Linked DNA regions of Arabidopsis thaliana. The protein of the gene in region 3 interacts with the protein of the main gene of each other region in a pairwise test. Each region holds a gene or a part of one and is shown on either strand. Other genes may lie near its edges. The genes, in order: CAO, ckl3 and ZML2.

What was found.
Region 1: the proteins of ZML2 (region 3) and CAO interact in binary tests that used the Arabidopsis thaliana proteins (3 or more experiments, as listed by UniProt).
Region 2: the proteins of ZML2 (region 3) and ckl3 interact in binary tests that used the Arabidopsis thaliana proteins (3 or more experiments, as listed by UniProt).

The regions. Positions count from the first base shown.
Region 1 is NC_003071.7:19,469,010-19,476,444, reverse strand, and holds CAO (chloroplast signal recognition particle component (CAO)), read right to left. Parts: upstream 3,873-7,435; 5' UTR 3,665-3,872; coding exon 2,543-3,664; 3' UTR 2,058-2,542; downstream 1-2,057. Other genes in the region: MYB12 (myb domain protein 12), read right to left, coding at 1-7; AT2G47440 (Tetratricopeptide repeat (TPR)-like superfamily protein), read right to left, coding at 4,785-5,925, 6,010-6,389, 6,474-6,533.
Region 2 is NC_003075.7:14,247,603-14,255,037, reverse strand, and holds ckl3 (casein kinase I-like 3), read right to left. Parts: upstream 3,904-7,435; 5' UTR 3,688-3,903; coding exon 3,612-3,687; intron 3,516-3,611; coding exon 3,475-3,515; intron 3,273-3,474; coding exon 3,203-3,272; intron 3,114-3,202; coding exon 2,965-3,113; intron 2,862-2,964; coding exon 2,766-2,861; intron 2,689-2,765; coding exon 2,618-2,688; intron 2,508-2,617; coding exon 2,446-2,507; intron 2,371-2,445; coding exon 2,307-2,370; intron 2,181-2,306; coding exon 2,096-2,180; intron 2,017-2,095; coding exon 1,890-2,016; intron 1,783-1,889; coding exon 1,706-1,782; intron 1,618-1,705; coding exon 1,560-1,617; intron 1,485-1,559; coding exon 1,348-1,484; intron 1,125-1,347; coding exon 990-1,124; 3' UTR 92-989; downstream 1-91. Other genes in the region: AT4G28870 (mutator transposase MUDRA protein), read right to left, coding at 4,318-4,617; ckl4 (casein kinase I-like 4), read right to left, coding at 5,841-5,981, 6,248-6,375, 6,560-6,617, 6,791-6,867, 6,963-7,089, 7,168-7,252, 7,391-7,435. UniProt on the Arabidopsis thaliana protein: Protein kinase involved in blue light responses (e.g. hypocotyl elongation and flowering) by phosphorylating CRY2 to reduce its stability.
Region 3 is NC_003070.9:19,128,134-19,135,568, reverse strand, and holds the start of ZML2 (ZIM-LIKE 2), read right to left. Parts: upstream 3,349-7,435; 5' UTR 2,903-3,348; intron 2,415-2,902; 5' UTR 2,394-2,414; coding exon 2,088-2,393; intron 1,915-2,087; coding exon 1,822-1,914; intron 1,733-1,821; coding exon 1,599-1,732; intron 1,491-1,598; coding exon 1,359-1,490; intron 770-1,358; coding exon 664-769; intron 551-663; coding exon 482-550; intron 386-481; coding exon 317-385; 3' UTR 1-316. Other genes in the region: MNS1 (alpha-mannosidase 1), read left to right, coding at 3,437-3,595, 3,930-3,977, 4,058-4,219, 4,479-4,591, 4,712-4,777, 4,918-5,092, 5,633-5,722, 5,865-5,989 and 6 more. UniProt on the Arabidopsis thaliana protein: Transcriptional activator that specifically binds 5'-GATA-3' or 5'-GAT-3' motifs within gene promoters.

The DNA.
Region 1 (7,435 bases), on a different chromosome or scaffold from region 3:
TTCCCATTTTCTCCGGCGGTTATATGTGTTTATTCCACTGACCACAAAAGTCAAGGCAATGGAGAGAGAGAGAGAGAGTGTGTAAGTGAGAAAGAGAAGTTACTGAGTGACAGACAACAGAAGCAAAAAGTGACTGATTTAGATATATATAGGGGCAGGTGATATATAGTTAATTAATTAATTGAAAGGGATTAAAAGAGCTTGCGGGTTCGAGGGAGAAGGAGATGATGACACGTGTGTGGTGTAAGAAGCGCCACGTTGGTTTAGAAGGAGACTGAAGTCGTGGCTTATTCACCGTCGAGAGACTCGTGGTCGGTCCGTGCAGGTTCGTCGTGGTTCTCTTAGACACTAATTCTAGTGTGTGCCGAGATCATTGACGTTACTTTTTTATTAACACATAAGATTTTTTCTCTAAAGTTAGTAGATCTTTATTGAAATTAATTGTTGTTTGTCACGTGAATACGTAGATCAGATAGTAATCGCACATTTTTTGTTCTTCTTATAATTTTGATAAAAATTATATAAAGGATTTACGCCGGATCCTCCTAGTCCGTTGACCAGATGGTCTTTTGCTCGAGCTACAAAACACGTGTGCGTTCATATAAACACGTGTAAATTTACGTCAGCGTGTTAGTGATAACCACACAATTCACTTATTGCAATAACACAATGAATTAAGTATGTAACAAGTATATGTTCAAGAAAGAGAGGTCATCTAAATTTGAACTTAGAATAAAGTCATCAGATGGTCCTAATTAAGCAAACGAGTAGTTAAAGTTTGTTAATGTCTATAACAACGCCGGAAGACGATCAATCTGTATAGTCTGCCATATTCGCTGCCAGTCCAAAATACTGAAATATCAATTATATTCGACGGAATCTTACGGAATCTTTTGAGAAATAAATTTTCACAGGTTTCCTTATCTAACTCGATACACGAAAATATGAGGACAACCATCAAAATATGTTTCCCATTTACTGCTCATCTAACTACGTGTTCCCCACATGTCATTATTTGCCGTTTCGTATGGTTTTGGTACTTTCGTTCGTATTTAGATTGGTCTACTAAAGAAAAGACTTTAGTACATACTATTCAATATTCAAAATTAAATACAATGGATTCAATATTTTGAAAGCAACTCTTTCATTTTCTTTCCTATAACTAGAAAAATTTGGACTGAAACCAAAATTACTTTTTAATTTATGTAAGAAAAAACTTAGTATGTTGTCATTGAAATAACTAAATGTGGTTTTATTTAAGTGAAATAGAGCGTCGTTCAATTTGAAAGAAAAAGCAAGAAGTCATTTTTCGTAACACTAGCTAATTTATACCTTACCAACCACACACATCAACTAAAATACATACAATACAATGTTACAAACCATATCACTATCATTTAATTGGTTAAAAGGTCTCATATATAAACCTAGTTACGTTTCATACAAAATCTGAAATATGTAGTGTTGTTAACTGTGACGTGATGTCTTCTGTGGTCTGATAGTATAATATAAAACCCAGTGAAAACTAATATATTTGGCATCAATTTATATTAATCGACTGGAGGACTTGGCTAATGTGGTCGCGGTTAATCGACCTAGTTCCTTGTTTTCTCTAATCTATAATCTACATAATTGTTGTTTGGTTGGTTGTCCAACAGTAATTTGGTTGTTATACTAAATATATTTGGTTGATTTACGTACGCATGTTGTTTACAAAAAGAAACTTTTCTCATCCGTTCATGTCACTATAACTAGAAGTAACACACATGACTAGAGGCCCCTCTCGAATTAAGAGGAAAATTACAAACGAAAAATAGGCGATCGTTGTATTCACAAAGAAACGAAAATGTGTACTAAATCAACTCCGTCCTTTTTGTCTCCTTATGTCCATCATCAACGTAACATCACATGCACTGAAAATCTAGATGCTCATAATAATAAAAGTCTAGCCATTAACTGACAAACCAAAATTTCTCTCATATAGACACAATGCATCGAATATCGTCAAAAAAAAAAAAAAAAAAAAATGATGTTGAATTAGAGAAGAATGGATACTACTTATTCATATTTTCTAGTCATTTATTCAGACTTTGTATCTTTCTATAATTTCCTTAATCGCAAAGTGCAGTTGTACATTATCACTCTTCAGAAGTTGTTTTTATCACCAACAAATGTTACAAGAAACGGACCCATAAATAAAAGTTGTGTATTGGGTTTACATGTACTCTCTTCCTATATGAAATATATAGGCCCAATTAAATGTAAATGGGTTTTGAGATAAAGAAAAGCCTAAGACGATGTATTCTCTAAACCTGGGACGATAAAGAGCAAGTCAGCCAGCATCATGAATCTCCCCAAAAAGGGAAGCAAAATTCAAAGCATGGATATAAAATCAAATAGTGTCCCCAAAAGGCCAAAAACCATCAAGATCACATCTTAAAAGAAAATGAAAATGTACCGGTACGTACCAACCGAACCGGTCAGATGAACCAACACATATGAGAAAGAAGCAAATTGAGAAGAATGTAATCATCAAAATCAATCATTCATTCATTGGTTGTTGTTGTTGGTAGAGTAGAACAAGAGTAGAGTCGACATTGTCCTGAGGCTCCCAAGTGGCATCAGACATATCAGTCCATTTGACAAGATACTCGATGGTCTTCCCATCGTCTCCCACCCTCTTCCCGATCACACTCTCCGCTACAGCGTACTCCAGCCCATCCTCGTAGTCCTTAGCCACATCTTCCGCCACGTGTACACCTTTCACCCACTCGCAATCTCCACCGTCCTTCCATCTGACCAGATATTCAACGTCTTTGCCTTTCCCTCGTTTCTCTACGATCTCATCCACCTCGGCGTACTCGAACACTTGTCCTTCCAGGACATTGATCACTTTCTCTAACCCAATTCTCCTCCCGAACTGCATCGGATTCCCCTTCGGCGTCGTCTTCAGAATCTCCCTCGCTAGTTCCAACGCCGTTAACCCTCTCTCGTCTTCCACTTCAATATCAGCTCCCAGCTCCACCAGCGCCTCCACCACCTCCGGCCTCACGTAACCAGCCGCCATGTGCAGCGCCGTCAAGCCTCCCCTCATGTCTCGGTGGTCGAGATCGGCTCCAGCCTCCGCCAGAAGCCTTACGCACTTGTCCGACCCCAGACCTGCCACGAAAAGCAGAGCCGTCCGGCCGTTTTCGTCCACGGCATCGACGTCTCGGTCCTCCAGGAGCTGTGACAGGGCCTGCTCGTCGGCTTTTCTAGCTGCCGTCCACCAGGGTGTCTCGTACTCCGACACTACGTCTGCTGCGATGTAGCTCGATGGAACCCACGACGGAGAATGGCCGTCCTTCCACTCGATAAGGTACTCCATGGCTCCTTCCCCCGCCGTTCGGCTTCCAATGATCTTGTTCACTTCTCCGTACGATGATGATGACTCATCATCTTCCTCTGCCTCTTCCACGGAGGAGGTCGTTTCTTCGTAGTTTCTTTGTACGGCGGCACATATAGCTCCTCGGAAACACAGCTCGATCCGTCTGATCGGTAAGGATTCAGGGGAGAAAGCAGAAGAAGAAGAAGAAGAAGATTTGGGAGGAGAAAGTTTGATGCGAGACAGAGACTGATGGATTACTAGAGCACAAGTATCCATGGCCAAGAAGACCTTTTGCATAATAGAAGACAAGACTAGAGAAGAGAAGAGAGTTAACGGGACTCACTGGATTTTCTAGTGGATAAGAAATCTTAGCCACCCAATCATTTTCGAAAATTTTAGATGTCTGCAGCAAATTTTAGTTTTTTAAAAAAGAATCTAGTTTTAACATTTTTATAGGATTTTATTTTATGGACTGCACTTATTTTCTTCTACTTTTAGAAAATCAACAGGTTCTTCTATTTTTTGGAAAAAATCTTTATATACTAGATAATTGTGTTAAGACATTCTCATCAAAAAGAAAAGAAAAATATAAAACAATAAAATAAATATGAGTAAAATTGTAAATGTGGTTGGTTTTCTCATTCATATGATATTTTCTTGTGGATTTAAATTGGTATGTATACATTATGATATATGAGTTTGTCAATATATTATTTGTGTTTGATTTTACGACTTGTGTATATATACTTACTCCATCTTTAAACATCTTTAAATGGCAAGCAGACCATTTTTTTTTTTTTTTTTTTTTGAATTTGCACTTCAGTGATTTACATGATATGAGTATTAACATTATTATACAGCAAGTGAATAGTTTTTATTTAGTTTTCACCATCTATATTTTATTTGCCTAATTAAATTAATCATCCCAATACCATCAAATGGCAGCCAAACTTTATAGATAAGGACTCATCCGAATATTACTGACGTGAGCCAGACTCATCGACTATTTCTAGGCAAATCTCGAGAACTCAATAATAAAAAATAAATTAGTGCTCAATAGCTTAAGAGATAATTTTGATAATAAAATGAAAAAAAAAGTTTTGATACTAGTATTTTAATTTACGTGCAAATCAAGCTTCTGTCGTTTTATATGCACATGAAGATGAAGAAGAAACAAAGGAGACGAACATTGAAGATAAAAGTAAAGTGACAAAATTTTCTTGTAGTTGGAATAATCTTCCAAACCTAAATACATTGTTTCATTTGTATTCATACATCAAATGTATATATATTTTCTTATTTTATTTTCTTTTTTGACGGCTGAATGATTTGTTTTTCTGTCCGAAGACGAATCTACGGAAACGACGACGTTTCCAGTGGCTGACATGGTAGGATAAAAAATTCGGTTCAATATTTTTTAGCAGGTGAGCGCTTCGTATTTAACCGGGATTGGATGGTTGAAACCAGCCCTGGTTAGTAGATTCCCAACCGCAGCGAGATCTCTACAGAATACTCCTTGGTACGCATTGGAATTTACCGGTTTCGTTTCAGCGTTTCCGGTTCTCTTAATAGAACCGGATTTTTCAACCGGTTTGCGTTCTTCAATCTTTTGAGCGTGAGCAATGGCGTTCTTCCTCTGCTCCTCGGCTATGATCGCTGTCACGGCGGTGTATCCTTTCTGAATCAAACGGTAAAGCAACAGAGACGACATTTTGGCTCGATCTCTAACCGAATCGACGTCGTTTTGATCGGTGAACTCGCACCGTTCGATGAAAGAAGAGGCTCTATCGGGTTTGTATCTGAGACATAGCAATAGATGAGCTCGATCGAGCTCCGATCTGGTGCATCCGCGTCTGACTCCGATCAAGCCGTAATAATCGACATTCCCAGTTTCTCCGTTTGCGATTTTCTGCTTAAGTTTCTGCGTTTTCGTTGTCAAAACGCACAATTTCCCAGGAATCTCTCTGTATTTCACGTTGTGCCGCTTCCACACCGGACCCGGAAGCTTCCGATCGCGTAAAATGGTGTTGTAGAGAAGCTTCAAGTGTTCTAGATCGTGAAGCGAATCTGGAAAACACCTGACCGTTTCTAGAAGCGCGGCTCTGGTTTCTAACGCCTGGATACACGAGGGTTCAAGAGCTAGGGTTTTATTGCAATCGGCGATCGCTTCCGCGATTCTACCGGCGGATCTATAAGCGGCGGCTCGATGCATGTAGCATTCGGCGAGGAATCCTTGAGGCGCAGGGCGACGGCCATCGACGATCTTGGAGAAGTGACGGATCGACTCGGAGAACAGTCCAGCGTCGAGAGCGGCGATTGCAGCGGCGCGACGACGGAGAAGAAGCTTGATGTGAGCGAGGAGATGGGTGAAGTTCTCGCTCTCGGGTGGTGGAGAAGAAGCAGAGGAGGATTCGGAGAGGAGAAGGAAGCTATCGTCGGACCAGCAAATACTCCGGCGACGGAACTCGGCGGAGGCGAGGCGTTTACCGGTTTGTAGGAGAACCATGGCATCCTCCATTAGTCCTAGATGGCAACAAGCTTGACCCAACACCACATACCTGAAACAGCGTTTAAAAATCAACGATTGCGTTTTGCTTGAAAGTAATAAGTAAAACAAAAAAGAGAGTTAAAAGTTATATTACCTCCATTGCCCTTCTTTGTCGCATTTTTTACAAATGCCTGCCATGACTTTCTTCTTCAAGTCGGAAACAGAGAAGCATTTAAAGGAGCCAGGGGAAGAGGCGTCGGAGAGAAGGTTGATACCGTCGGAGGAAGAAGAGCCTTGAGAAGAAGCGGATCCTTCGTCGTCGAGTTTAAGACTGGGGATATAATCCTGAAGCATATCGGCGACATCCTTGAAACGACGGAGGAAGAGGAGAGATCTAGCCTTGAGCTCTAACGCAGTTTCCAAACGCGGGGAGATAGATAAGGCTGCGTCTAGTAAATGAAGAGCTGAAGCGACGTCGTTTGCCTCCTCACTTGCCATTAAAGTTGTTGCATCCTTTATATACTTATCAACAAGCTGAGAAAACCCAAAAAAAGTTAACATGATTGATGATGATCTTTGAATCAAGAACTGTATTTCCAGGTTAGAGATCGCTTATACCTTTCTGTGAGTGAACCACCAGTGCTTCTTATCGCCATTAACGTTAGGATAAACCGCCATTGATGTTTGTTTGGAGGAAGAAGCTTTCGATTAAATCATCAAAAAAGAATTCCTTGCTTCCAAGGTTTGAAAAAAGAAAGACAACAACAAGTGATTTAATAATGGAGAGAGAGAGGGAGAGTGTGTGAATGTGGAGAGAAACAGAGCACTATAAGGAAAGAGAGAGATAGATGACAGCTTCAGAGAAAGCTTTGATCCTTCTAATTCATAGCTGGCACCATTTTCTCTTTTTACACTTCTATATTCTCTCTCTCTTCAATGAATATCATCTACATAGCCATATTTTAGGTAGGTTTCACACTTCCCATTCCCTAATTTTTCATTCAACTAACCAAATAATGTCTTCTTAGCAATATTTTTGGTTTAACCTTTTAACGGTGTTTTTTTTACCGTGTGGTGATCAATCTTCAGTAAGGGAACGTAGTAAGTTAATTACAGTAAGATTTTGTTTCGATTTTTGAACTAAAACAAAATCTAGACTTTATATTATCATCCTATTCCCAATTAATCGAGGTGGTTTAGACTTTGTTAGTTTTAGATATTTAGGTTCTCTATGATCTAAACCATATAAATTTAATTTGGATTATTATTGATTCAATTAAGTATACTACTTTGTTGTTCATATCTCGCATATGAAATAGGATATGTGATTTATACTAGCTAGATTATAAATTAAAGAACATTCCCTAACATTATATACTCGTTTACTAGTTCTGTAATCTTTTACGTTTTAGTCGTCGTTTTGGAATAAGCATGATATCTATATTACTGTAACCTTGTCGCACGATATATGATTGCGTTTTTGAGAAACCCATATCCATTATGATCATTGCCAATTATTCAACTCTATTTTTTTTCCTCCATGACGATATTATTAATTTGGCTAGAAAATTTAACAATTG
Region 2 (7,435 bases), on a different chromosome or scaffold from region 3:
AACAATAATGATGTAGCTTAATTCAAATTGTAGTAAATTACTTTCAATTTAATTTTTGTTTTGGTTTTCAATTACTTAGGTTCCGTCTGGATTTGATTTCAATTTTCACAATATATAAAGATAACAGAAATATTTAAAAGCAAATATTGAAGAGTATATGATACTAATTACTAAACACTATGAAGAAATTTAAGACAAACTTACTTTAGTTTACACAAATTGGATTTTCCCTTATGGCCTAAGATAGGTTTCCATTACAGCTGTACAAATACAACCTACACCTGGTCACCTGCCTCTTCCATGATGATGATTTCTCCGACCGAGCGCATCAAATCGTTTTTCAACTGGCTTCATGAGCTCTCAAACATTTTATTCTCTCCCAGAATAGTTTCTTACTCACTGTCTCCGAGTTATTTGAATCCCATGTTGACTCTCAAAATCTTTCCTCATAAATCAATTGCACAAAAATAAGAATCGAACTTGGGCGTCTGTGAAAGAAACCTGTGCATTGCTAAGCCTTTTGAAGACTCATCTCAGCTCAAGCTTGGCTCTGGATTTCTGCAAAGAATGACGCTATCCATTAACATGTATACATATATCAAGCTGCAGCAAAAGGTCATTGATCACATAGCAAAGAGTAGCTAAAAATGATATGTATGAATCACATAACAAGATTACACATCCGGGTGTAAGAATTATACAAAGGTTGGGGGAAATCTTTGAATGAAAAGCACACATACACTTTCATGTCTTGTGTGTGTAAACACAAATGCTTCAACCAACGCCTTCTTGTCCACACACACTTCAGAGAATTTACATAGAAACCATTGCATCTTTCTTCCAGCCAAAGGTGGAGGAGATACAAAGGTGTTAGTGACACCAAGTTCTGATTTCTGCTGTAGTTTCAGAGGTGAATTAAGGGCACGGAGTCACATTAACAGCGCATCATCTCACTCACCATTTCAGGAAAAAGCTACATTTTCTTTGCATCATTTCTCTGGAGACATGAATGACGAAGTCCAACCAGTTCTATTCCCACTCCCATATCCAGAATTTGAGGTTTCGGGTCCGACATTTCTTTTTGAGGTACCCGCAGGAGATAATGAAGTGGATGGCATGTTCATCTGCAATGGGTTTTCAGTAAAATAACAGTCAAGGGAACTCATCTCGAAGATCAATATATTGTTTCATTAATTCATGACAATTGACAAAGCGATACTGGTAAAATCAGTTTTCAGGGAACCATGAAGTGTTCTGAGAGTAATACTATACATGACATGCTAACACAAGCAACGAGTTTGCAGAATAAAACGGTTCTTTGGAAGAGGCAAATGCAGAAATACGTACATTCTTGTGGACAGGGTGATCAAACCCCGGAGTCCTCCCTGCAGCAGTATTATTATTTATCTGTGGGCTTGGACCAATGGCATTAGCCGATCTGACGCGTTCAGAGGCCTCGGCTTCATAAGAAATATTTGGTCCTCCTGCCAAACAGAGCGTCAGAAAACAGAGATTTCAAAATAAACAATTGCAACAACAAGCTATTAATTAGAGCTAACCCCGATGATTGCTTGTGTCCACTGGCATTGCACGAGGATTGCTAGACCCAGGAACTGCCTGCAGTAGAAATGACAATACTTTTTGTTAGTAACAAGAAAGGTGACACAGCAGCAAATTAAGATTGAGAAAACATTGAAAACTATACCTGAGACTGATTTCTAGATTTCTGTGCTTGTTGATACTTTATGATAGTCCAGTCAAATATATAGTCGAACTCATATCCTGCAAAAGAGAACATATAATAGTGAGGTAGGTAGATGATGCCGGTGAACCTTATCAGCTGAGTGAACTATGAATGATGAAGAGATGTCTTTATCCAAAGTACCTACCTTCCCGCGAAAATAAATCACGAAAAAGCCGCTTCAAGAATCCATAATCTGGGCGCTGATCAAATGTCAGTGTATGGCAGTAATGAAAATATGATGCAAACTCCACAGGGTGATTTTTGCATAGCACCTGCAATGGGATATCGATATATACTTAGTCGAATGAGGATTAACAAAAAAAGAATCAATCACACAATAGGGAAACATACCTCAATGGGAGTTGATATCTTCTTCTCACAGATTTTATCATACTTTTGCTTCTTGTCAACAGCCTTAAGACCCTGCCATGGAAGACTAGAAAAGGACGTTCATGAAATGAGGAACACAAAAAACAGTTAAGTAAATCTCTAAAAACAAGGAATAGAAATACCCTGCGAAATAACATAATGTTAACTAGTTTCTTTCAAAAAGACAACACACCTTCCTCTTAGGAAATACAGAAGCACATATCCCAGCGATTCTAGATCATCCCGTCGACTTTGCTCTGTGAAGAGAACCCAAAATATGAGCAAAAGCGATTTACTTTTACATAAGGATAAAGAATGCCAGCATTTCTTACCAATTCCAAGATGTGTATTGCAACTTGCATATCGTGCAGTTCCTGTTAAATTCTTGTTTTCCCTGAATATAGCCGAATAAAGGAAATAAGTTGTATAATGATTAACGTGACCGTAAAACTTAAAAACAGATAGATCATTTACAATCTGTATATTGAACCAAGGCCACAATACCTGTAAGGGATGTGGCGGTTGGTGTTGGCATCCCGATATCTTTTGGCAAGTCCAAAGTCAATTAGATAAACCTGAAAAATGAGACTTATCAATCATACCATACTCTACTTATGGCATCTGATGAAGATAAGAAGTTGCAGAAATATACCTGATTTGCTTTCCGACCTAGGCCCATGAGGAAGTTATCGGGTTTAATATCTCTATGCAGATATCCTTTCGAATGTACAAATTCTATTCTTGTTAGCTGTAACAGCGGGATAAGAAAATCGGAAGCACATTAGATAATCAATGTATAAGTCAACAGATATTATAAATAGCCTAATGAATAGTTGAAAGTCATGCCATACCATTTGATCAGCCAACATCAAGACTGTCTTTGGTGAGAATTTCCTCCCACAGTAGACGAAAAGATCTTCGAGACTTGGACCGAGCAAATCCATCACTAAAGCATTCTCTGTTCCATCAACTCCAAACCATTTTATGCGCGGAATTCCACCTGACACATAACATAAAAATTAGTATTGTACTGCTAATGAATCCCTCCAATGTCCAACAACTGAGAAAAGAGAGGAAAGAGAATCATACTTCCTCCTTCAAGAATTCTATATAGCTTAGCTTCATAGAGAAGTTGAGGATGCTTTGTTTTACTGTTCTCCTGCAAGAGAAAATGATTGAATTAAAAACAAGTGTTAGCTTGAAGAATATATTGCAGCTAAAAAGCACCGAGTTTAAAACCTTGCTCAATTTTAGAGTAAAGCAATTCAAACAAAATCAATTAAGAGACATAGCAGATCCAAATCAAATCTCCAGATTGGATGGATTCAATTCGTCTCAAGGCAAATTGAGCTGGGACTTACGATCTTAACAGCTACGATCTCGAAGGTATCGACGTGCGTAGCTGCGAAAACAACAAACAGAAGAGAAGAGCGTCAATTTCAAATAAAAAAGCAAACTCGGAAAACCAAAGGGACAAGAACAGAGGAGAACACAAAACCTAGAAAAATCTCTCCGAACGAACCACCGCCGATCTTCCGTCCGAGCTTGTACTTGCCGCCGATGATGCGTTCCATGGCAGCTCCAATCAGAACCGAATCTGGATCAAGCGCAAGGATAGAGATAAGGATTTAGGGTTGTTGTTTAGAAGATTGAAATTAGAGGAACTTAAAAACATATATTATTATTTTTGTTTGACTGACATCGGTGGTAGTGACATGGACCCAGGCTTGTTTGAGCCGTAGTAGTGATCCTTCAAAAAAAAATTTGTACACCTAACTACTGCACCATTTTGGGTCCGCCAATCTTTTTTTACCTTATAAACAAACACGAGGGTATTTACGTGATTTTGTAATGTCACGCTGGCACGGTGGATGATTTGATGATTTCCGTTTTTGGGGTCTGCAAAATGATGAAGGTTCGAAAATTTAATGGGTTGGCTGATTTTCGAGTCATAAACTATTTCGATTCTTAGTTTTCACTCCCGGATTTTTGGGCCCTTAAATTTCCACCATCAATTTTCATATTCCTCAAAATTACATCATCTACTTTCGAATTCATGATTAAACATACATTTTCAATTGAACCATTCATTTAACCGGGATTAACCACAAATCCGCGTTTACTGTACCGCGATTGTGATTAACCCGACTAATACCCAGACCCGTTAAGAAAACGACGTCGTTTTCATTCTTCTTCTTTAACTCTCAAATCGATTTGGTAGTCCTCTTCTTTTGACTTTCATCTCTGTCTCCATCGTCTTCTAGATTGACGTCTCCATCAGACGCTATGTCACCATCGTCTTCTCTATTTTCCTCTCCATCAGAAGCTCTGTCTCCATCTATCCCGACGTCCTCTCCCTCGATTCTGGTGGCTTCGTCCTCCTCGACTCCGCTATCACCACTATCACTTCCATCGTCGGCTTCAATGTCACTCTCTGGAGGTTCGAAATCGGGGTCATCTGGATCGCTTTGGTAAATCAATCTTTCCTCCCACCAATTCTTCATTTCTCCCTATTCGAAACCCAAATCGAGACCCAAAAATTCGAACCGAAGAAGAAAACCCCAAATCCCCTTTTGTCTTTCTCTCTCAAGAACCCTAATTTCACAGTGTCGAGATTAAAGAAGAACGACTAAATCGATTTGAGAGTTAAAGAAGAAGAATGAAAACGACGTCGTTTTCTTTCTCTTTTTGATGAGTTAAACGAAATGAAAACGACGTCGTTTTCTTAACGGGTCTGGGTATTAGTTGGGTTAATCGCAATCGCGGTACAGTAAACGCGGATTTGTGGTTAATCCCGGTTAAATGAATGGTTCAATTGGAAATGTATGTTTAAGCATGAATCCAAAAATAGATGATGTAATTTTGGGAATATGAAAGTTGATGGTGGAAATTTAAAGGCCCAAAAGTCCGGGTGTGAAAGCTGAGAATCGAAATAGTTTATGGCTCGAAAATCAGCCAACCCAAATTTAATCCACTAACTAGTTCTCTACCAAATCGATCAATTCTAGGTGTTTGTATTTCAATATTGAGACTACAATTTTATACGTTTTTTTTTTTTAATAATAGCAATTGAAAATGCATGTTTGGATCAAGTCAAGCTTTTTGATATAATTTTTTTCAATGCACAAAATCGAGTAAGAAAAATCAAACACAGAATACCATTAAACTGAATAGGAAATTCAGAGAAAAAAAAAGGGGGAAGTGTTTCTCGGAGCATTCCAGAAGCTAGCCATAGCTTATCCTTTTACGTTCTCGTCAGCTGCACATTAGCTTGATGGTGACATGTCCCTGCCACAAGCAACTCTTGACTCAAGCCTTTGAAGGCATCTCTGCTGAAGCTGCTCATGCTTTGCTCTTGATTTTCTGCAAACAATGTTGATGACACAGCAAACCCAGGTTATGCCCCAACACAGGGAACTACGTACAGAAATACGAACAAAGTTTTATAGAAGAAAACTTGGGAGAATGAATCACAAGAACCAAATTACACGCCCGGTTGCAAGATTTTATACAAAGGTTGAAGTCAGTCATTTGTGAGAATCTTGAAGGAAAGCAAACATAATCTTCATGCCTTTTGTCAAACAGTAAGCTGTTCATGGAAAAACTCCATTCAGATCTTCAACCTCAGTCTAGAGCTTTTCACTGCAGAAATCACAGTTTAGACCCAAAGGCACACATAATCTTGCTCAGCAGATCAGATGAATGATATACTCCAACTTTTTTTGCATCATTTCCCCGGTGACATGAATGGTGAAGTCCAACCGCCGGTTTTATTCCCGCTCCCAAACCCAGAATTTGAGGTTTCGGGTCTGACATTTCTTTTTGAGGTACCCGCAGGAGATAATGAAGTGGATGATGGCATGTTCATCTGCAATGGGTTTTCAGTAAAATAATGGTCAAGAGCATATTTCGTGATGATCAGTATCGTGTTTTAATCATTTATGCTATATGTAGTTCATATCACAATATAGAGCTCGTTGATGACAATTGACCATGCAAAACAGGTAAAAGCTTTAAGCAGAGAACCATGCAGAACTCTGAAGCAACACAGATGCAGGCATGAGATGCTAACACAAGGGGGAGGGTTGCAGGATACAACATTTATTTGGAAGAGGCAAATGAATAAGCACGTACATTCTTGTGGACTTGATCAAAACCCAGACTCCTCCCTACAGCGGTATTAATCTGTGGGCTTGGACCACTGGCATTAGCCGGTCTGACACGGTCAGAGACTTGGGCTTCATGTGAAATCTTAGTTCCTCCTGCCAAACGGAGAGTTAGCATCAAGATATTGAAATAAACAGTTGCAACGGGAAACTAAATCAGCCAAACACTCTATGCCAGTTGAGTCCAGTGTGAAAGTCGAGAGAAAACAAAAAACACATCATATACTATTACAAAATTAATCAGAAAGTGACACAATTAAAATTTATAACTCGAGCTGACCTCGATGATTGCTTGTGTCCATTGGTATTGCACGAGCATTACTAGACCCAGGAACGGCCTGCAGCATGACAGTTTATTGTTAGGAAGACAGGCATATCTATATTTAGCACCAAAACTAAAAAATAGCAAAACCAAGTAAAACTTCTCCCCAGGAAATCTTCTCTATGAACAAGACAAAATATGCATACACCTGGAGAAAAAAAAATAACAAATGGTATTGATAAACTATACCTGAGACTGACTTCTAGTTTTCTGTGATTGCTGATACTTTATAATAGTCCAGTCATATATATAGTCAAACTCATATCCTGCAAAGAAGAAAACGTTTAAGTGAGCTAGGTAGATAACTGATGCTAGCAGAGAGGATTATAAAAATGATGGAGGGATGTCTTTCTCAAAGTACCTTCCCGTGAGAATAAATCACGAAAAAGCCGCTTCAAGAATCCATAATCAGGGCGTTGATCAAATGTCAGTGTGTGGCAATAATGAAAATATGAAGCAAACTCCACGGGGTGGCTTTTGCATAGAACCTACAAAGGATGGGATATTATTCAGTTGAATGAGGATTAACAAAAAACAATTCACTCACACAGTAGAGGGAAATAGACCTCAATAGGAGTTGATATCTTCTTCTCACAAATTTTGTCATACTTTTGCTTCTTGTCAACAGCCTTAAGACCCTGCCATGGAAGGCTAGAAAAGGAGGTTCATTAAAATAGGAACAAAATGTAAAGCAAGAAAACGGTTAAGTAAATCTCAAACAAGGAAAAACAATACCCTGCCAAAAACACAATGTTAACTAGGTTCTTTCAAGTCAAAAAGTCAACACACCTTCCTCTTAAGAAGTACAGAAGCACATATCCAAGAGACTCTAGG
Region 3 (7,435 bases):
GACTACTCTTTTGGTGAGTTCTTAAATAAAGTTAGTTTGTCTTTAAAATAGGGTAAAACACAGACTGCAACTAGACGTTACATCAGAGTATGGACCAATGCAACAACAGTCTATAAAGCATTTTTGAATCATAAAAAAAGAAGAAGCAAAACATTGCAGATCATTATCACTCAGATTACATTGTCATAGATCAAATCCTGATAACCTAAATCGAGTCAGATTCTTTCAAAGGGAATGATAAAGCTACAGAACCTGAGGCGATTCAAACTCTGTTGGGATCTTTCTCTTGCTTGTAATGGCAAGAGCCAACATGTCCTCACTGTGAGTTGCTTATGTCATTGGCCACTGTTATCATTATTTGATGATCAGTCTCAAGATTTGCATCCTGCAAAGATAGATCAGACATGCACAAGTTATGATAAAGACGAATGGATTCCTTTTCGTACAACAAATTGTTTGGTCAAAACATGATGTTGCTTACTTCATTCTTATTTAAAGGAAGATTCTGGGCTGTTTGAGGAGAGGCTTTGGATAAGTCCCTAAAAGCACCCTGAAAGTATAAATGTCGTCCTCATTTAGACAGACTAATCATCGAATCACTAGTGCTACAAAATGAGCAAGATAAAGAGAGTTGATCAAATTAAGAAGCAAGTATTGTCTTGCCTTGTTTGCCCACATAAGTCCACATGCATTGCAAAGTGTTCTTGGCCCGGCAGGTCCACGTCGCATCATTGGAGTTGACTTCTCGCCAATTCCACAGTGCCGACATCTTACAGGTATCAAGCCATTCAGAGGAAGTAAAATCAGATATGTTCTTACCAACTAAAGTAAGGCTATCAAGAAGAAAAACTCAAATCTACAAAGACTTAAACGACAATTGTCTATTCCAAAGTTATTATAAAAATTCTCAGTTCCAGGATACAATATTAGTCATCACAACCTGTCTTAACCAATCATCTATCACAGAAGTCATTTTGCTTCAGGCATGGAAGAGCTTTTATATAATATTTTGTCTGTATTGGTCCTTCAATGTTACCAATTCGTATAGGTCCATGCTCATGTTAAATATTACATATGCAATGTGTATGTCTTGATATTGAATCATTGATAGGTTTCAGAGTTCTAGTACCTCTACAACGTTTCTGAAACCAAAAACAACATCTAAGATGCTTAATAAACCTATCATCTCTACATTAGGATGGTTCAGTTTAATAACTAAGTCAGATGCTACATTAGGTTGGAAGCAAAAACAACTTCTAAAGTTGCTTAGCAAACCCATAATAACTACGTTAAGTTGGTTCAAGTTAAAAAGTATGTCAGGAACTCGCAGTTTACTTTCAAAGCATTTCTAAACTTACGAGATCTCTTGATGCTGAGCCTCACTACTTTCTATGGCCCAGGTTTGATTCGACCCCCAGCTAGATCCAGCAGATGCAGCTTCATCATTGTTTGACTTGGCAGATGTGAACTGACCTTTATTGCGTTGCATCCTGTATACCAGAAAACAAAAAGTAATCAAGATGCGAACCTTAATTTTGGGAGAGCAACCATAAAAGAAGTATAACTAGACCAAGTTGTTGATTTAGACATCAATGTACCTCAAAGCTACCTCCTTGCGGACTGTATACCGAATCTTCTTATCAAAATTCCTTCCTTTCCGTTTCTCTCGAAATCTGACCAAAGAAGCTAATCGCTGCGGAATACTAAACCTTTGAGGAGTACCAGGTAAACTCTGTTTCATTGATTAGTCAGTCAGTCAGTCAAGCAATGTATCAAGGAAGGGAACTTATGTCCCATAAATGCCATCATATATTTTATTACCGATACTCTGTTGTTCTGATGAGGTGATCCTAGGCCAGGAGGGGCTGCCTGAGGTAATTCACGACCACCCAATAATAGAAGCACAGCTTGAACCTGCAACAGGCGTCGAATAGCAAGAGGCACTCACACATTAGAATCAATAGATGGAAAAAACTCAAAGCTAACTAGATCCTTCAACCACTTGCTAAAATGTGGCTTGGAGTAAGAATATAAATTCTAATGGAATGAGACAATCAACGAACCAACTCAGTAACAACTTAACTCACCTTCTCAGGCAAGACACTGTCAAAAACGTAGACTTGGCCCTGAAAAGACAATGTTAACTGATCTCCTTGTTCACTACCACGGTCGACCACTTCACCACGATTGTCAGTTACATTTCCAGGGTGAGAAGGAATGTCTGTTTCCACACCCTCACTCATCCCACCAGCATTGCCATCATCAGCCTGGTCATCAACCATACCGCTTCCATTGTGGATGTGATGCAAAGCATGATGTTCAAATTGCACATGCATTGGATCTTGAGCTTCTCTAATGTGCATTCGAGCATTGCTTCCATGTAGGTCATCCATGGTTGCTTTTCATCAATCTACCTAATGATAACAGTGAAAGTAAAACAAATTAACATTAAAACTGGAAACTTCAAACAAAAACACCTAATCTTCATAAGCACGATTCATGGATGACCAGACAAATCAAATCAGCTCTAAGCAAAACATGATTCACATACTATATAACCTTACTTCCTCGGTCATTGGAGCAACTTACATATAAGTTCTAACTAACACTATACATAAATTCAGGAAACCTTATGGATCAATGCTTGTTTTCAAGAGATTAACACAGACTTCTAACATATTTGCATCAATCAGATTCAATCCAAAGTTTCAATATTTCCACGCTCTAAGCCTTACATAAACCATATTATACCAATTCCACAAACTCACTTATAATTTCAACAAACAAAATAAACCCTAAGAAACAAAAGCAAATCCTGAAACAAAGCGACATCCAAAACCATTGAAATATAGGTTCCTCATTACGACACACGAAACCAATATAAGAGTTAAGATGATGTTACCTGTTCGTGGGGAGCAACACCAAAAAGAGAAGAATGAAAGATGTTCGAAAGACCCAAACGAGAAACACCAAATAACACGACGGAAACGATGAAGATGACAATTGAACCGATGGATAACGCCACAAATAGAAGAACAGAGACAAACCAAACCCACCAGAACACCAACGAGACGAAAATGGAAACCAGATAGAAAGAGAAATCGAAGAAAGAGACGAACCAGTGGGGGCTAAAGAGACTCGATTGATTATTTTATCATCAAAAGAATAAATAAGCAAAAGTGCCGGAGATATAAATAAATACTTTTCTTTTGGTTTTTGGGTAAAGTTTCGTTTTTTAATTCTTTCTTCGTCTTCCTCCTTCTAACTACTAAAATCGGATCTATAACTTTTGTTCTTTGAGAGACTTATTTCTCTCTCGGTTTCTTACTCTTTTCGGATCAGAAATTTAAAAGCTTTTAACTTTTGTCTTGCTCTGTTTCATGGACACTGATTTCTCAATTGGTCTCTGTTTTTGTTGAGTGGGTTGAGAAGAGAGATGGCGAGAAGTAGATCGATTAGTGGTTATGGGATATGGAAATATTTGAATCCTGCGTATTATCTTAGAAGACCGAGACGTTTGGCTTTGCTTTTCATTGTCTTCGTCTCTGTTTCTATGCTTGTCTGGGATCGTATTAATCTTGCCCGAGAACATGAGGTATGTTTTGTCTAATGAAATCTGGTTAGACTCTGCCTAGGAGTAGGAGATAGTTCTTGTATCATAGCTTATTGGTAGGCCAATTCGAATTTTGGTGAAGTAGGTTATATGGTTTAGGCCTGGAATGGTTTGATTGCCTTCATAGCTCAAGGTCTATAAGTAAGACAGTTGGTGTTTTATTTACTAGAAAAGAGCTGTAATTAATATCTTCTGGACTCAATTCATGTATTCGTTTATAAGAAGCTATGTAACCAAAATAAGAAAAATGTCAAGGAAGTGAACAATTTCTCTTGTGATCATTCTCTCACTTGTCCTGCTTTTTTTTGTCTTGCAGGTTGAAGTTTTTAAGCTAAATGAAGAAGTTTCACGGTTGGAGCAGATGGTAAGATTAATATTTTCCCCTCACTCTAGGCTCAGATAGTCTTTCTAATGTTTTAGCTAACTAACTATATTTTCCGCTAGTTAGAAGAGCTTAATGGTGGTGTTGGCAATAAGCCTTTGAAGACTCTGAAGGATGCCCCAGAAGATCCAGTTGATAAACAGCGAAGGCAGAAAGTAAAAGAGGCAATGATCCATGCTTGGAGCTCTTATGAAAAGTATGCATGGGGGAAAGATGAGCTTCAGGTATACAATTATTTTCCAAAATACATTTCACCCTTGTGAATACGAAATCTAGTTTACGACGGACTCTATGAATCAAATTTTATTTTGACGTTTAGTGCCTGCTCTTCCAGTATCCTGTTGAGCCTTTTATTATGAGCTTATCTGAAGTTACCAGGCCTACAAAGATTTTGTTAAGAACTAAGATTATTTTCTTCCTGAACTCTGCAAAAAAAATATTGGTCTGAAGCTATTCTTGTTTCTTTCCTTTTTTTATTGTCAGCCTCGGACAAAAGATGGCACTGATAGCTTTGGTGGCCTTGGAGCAACTATGGTAGATTCTTTAGATACACTCTATATAATGGGTCTAGATGAGCAGTTTCAAAAAGCCAGAGAGTGAGTAATTGCAGGCTCTTCATTTATTCATATGTAACTGTTTTCGTCCCAGTTGCAAATCCAACTTTTTACTTCTTCATCTTTGCTAATCTTCATTTGCTTATTGTCTTTTATTTGCAGGTGGGTTGCAAGCTCATTGGATTTCGACAAGGATTATGACGCCAGTATGTTTGAGACAACCATAAGGTGGCTTTAACAGGTTTACTGTGGTTGTTTTCTGTAATTATCGTAGGAAGAGTCAGTTTATTTGCGATTATCAGTTGGTGACATAAGATGGGGAACGGATATTGCATCTGCTTATATTCTTTTTCTTTATCTGCCTTCAGAGTTGTAGGCGGACTTCTTAGTGCGTATGATCTTTCTGGGGACAAAATGTTCCTTGAAAAGGCTAAGGATATTGCAGACAGATTATTGCCTGCATGGAATACTCCAACGGGTATACCTTACAATATTATCAACTTGAGAAATGGAAATGCTCACAATCCTTCATGGGCGGCAGGGGTGAGTCCTAGATTACTGAGTGCCGTGTATGTTGTATTGTGTCATCTTGTGTCATGTAGATCTTTTTAAAGCCTAACCTTGGAATCCAATGATTGGATACAAATCTTTATTCGTTTCTAGAAAAAATGGCTCCTGAAACTCTGTGCACTTGTTCTGTAGTTGACTTAGGTTCCTGATTATGTTTCTAAAGGACTCCTTAGAGTCTATTTGATAGCTTAAATCCAAGTTCTGACCACTTTCTTAGATGATTCAACCCCGTATAAAAACTAAGATCTGGACTCGGCAGAAACAGCCAAGTTATGGTTTCTCTGTATGCAACAATTAACATTCTTGTTTGGGGTCTAGACTTTTAAACAGGTGTTACGTTTAGAGTTTATGGTAGCTATAGTTTCTTAACTAACTATATATTCACTAGCAATCATATGCAGTGTCTTTGAAATGAGTACCAAGTGTGATCAGGTTTAGATATGTTTCAGTTTCATTGAGGACATGTGCTGTGTCAGTTTTACTGATTGCTACACTTTTTTTTTGTTTTACTAGGGAGACAGTATTCTCGCAGACTCCGGCACTGAGCAGCTCGAGTTTATTGCCCTTTCCCAAAGGACAGGGGACCCAAAATATCAGCAGAAGGTAGATACTAATTTTGAGTTTGTCCAACAGATTTTCTTTATATCCTAACTCGGTGTGAAAAAGTGGGCAATCAATCTGCATTAATGCTGAAGAAAATATTGGCTGCTCAAGATTGACACGTTTGCTAACTCATGTCTCTCAGGTAGAGAAGGTTATTACAGAACTGAATAAGAACTTTCCTGCTGATGGTTTACTTCCCATCTATATAAATCCGGATAATGCTAATCCATCGTACTCTACCACAACATTTGGTGCCATGGGAGATAGGTAGTTTCTTCCTCCAAATTTTCATTTTGTGTTGGTCGGGTCTTGTGACCATGACTTTGCTCTCTAACTTTTAATAATAATTTGGTTTTACAGCTTTTATGAGTATTTGCTCAAAGTTTGGGTGCAAGGGAACAAAACATCTGCCGTGAAACCCTATAGGTAAGTAAAGCTCGACGCTGTGTATATACACCCAAGTAATTCAATATCAGCAATAAAGGATAAGGACTAAATCTTTCTTAATGTATTGAATCAGAGATATGTGGGAGAAATCAATGAAAGGTTTGTTAAGCTTGGTCAAGAAATCAACACCTTCATCATTTACGTATATATGTGAGAAGAACGGAAATAATTTGATTGATAAGGTAAAAACTATTCTAATTTCAACTCTCTACTTTGAGAATTTTGTTGGTTTTGACATAATTTCAACATTCAGATGGATGAATTGGCGTGCTTTGCTCCTGGAATGTTGGCTTTAGGAGCTTCAGGTTATGGCCCTGATGAAGAAAAAAAGTTTCTTTCACTTGCTGGAGAGGTGCCTTAGAATCTCAATTGTATGTTGAGTATAACTTTCTGCTGTGTCCTTATTGCTGTTTCCCTCACTTTACTGCAGCTTGCCTGGACTTGTTATAACTTTTACCAATCGACACCAACGAAACTTGCTGGAGAGAACTATTTCTTCACTGCAGGGCAGGTTGGTAAATACTTTTTGCGCATCTGTTTGTATGTTAGTTGGTTGGTTATGTCGTATCCATAAGCACATGATTGTTTCAGGACATGAGTGTTGGCACATCTTGGAACATTTTAAGACCAGAAACCGTTGAATCACTGTTTTACCTCTGGCGATTAACTGGGAACAAGACATATCAAGAGTGGGGATGGAATATATTTCAAGCATTTGAGAAGAACTCTCGCGTAGAATCTGGATATGTAGGCTTGAAGGATGTAAGTTTCGAGCCGGGCTGACCTTAACCAATCAGATACCCTCCTCGAGTGGGCCTTTCCATCTTTCGGAAACACGTTGTTAACGTTTGCTTCTTCATTTTCAGGTCAATACAGGTGCTAAAGACAACAAGATGCAAAGCTTCTTCTTAGCTGAGACTCTTAAGTATCTATATCTTCTCTTTTCGCCTTCATCTGTTATTTCATTAGACGAGTGGGTTTTCAACACAGAAGCCCATCCGCTTAAGATTGTGGCACGGAATGATCCGCGTAAGCCAACTATAGCACTACGCCAGAGGAAGTTTGGTCATCAGATTAACGTTTAGTAGACAGTTTCTGCTCAAATGGAATTTGATATTATTATATATTACCACAAAGTTTGAGGCACATTGTTGTATCAGTTTAAAGAACAGATGGACAACGTTTTTGCCACAGCAATTTGTAGAGGTACTTTACTGTTTCCTATGATTTTTGGATTTGTAGAAGAGCTTTTTTTTACTATCATGT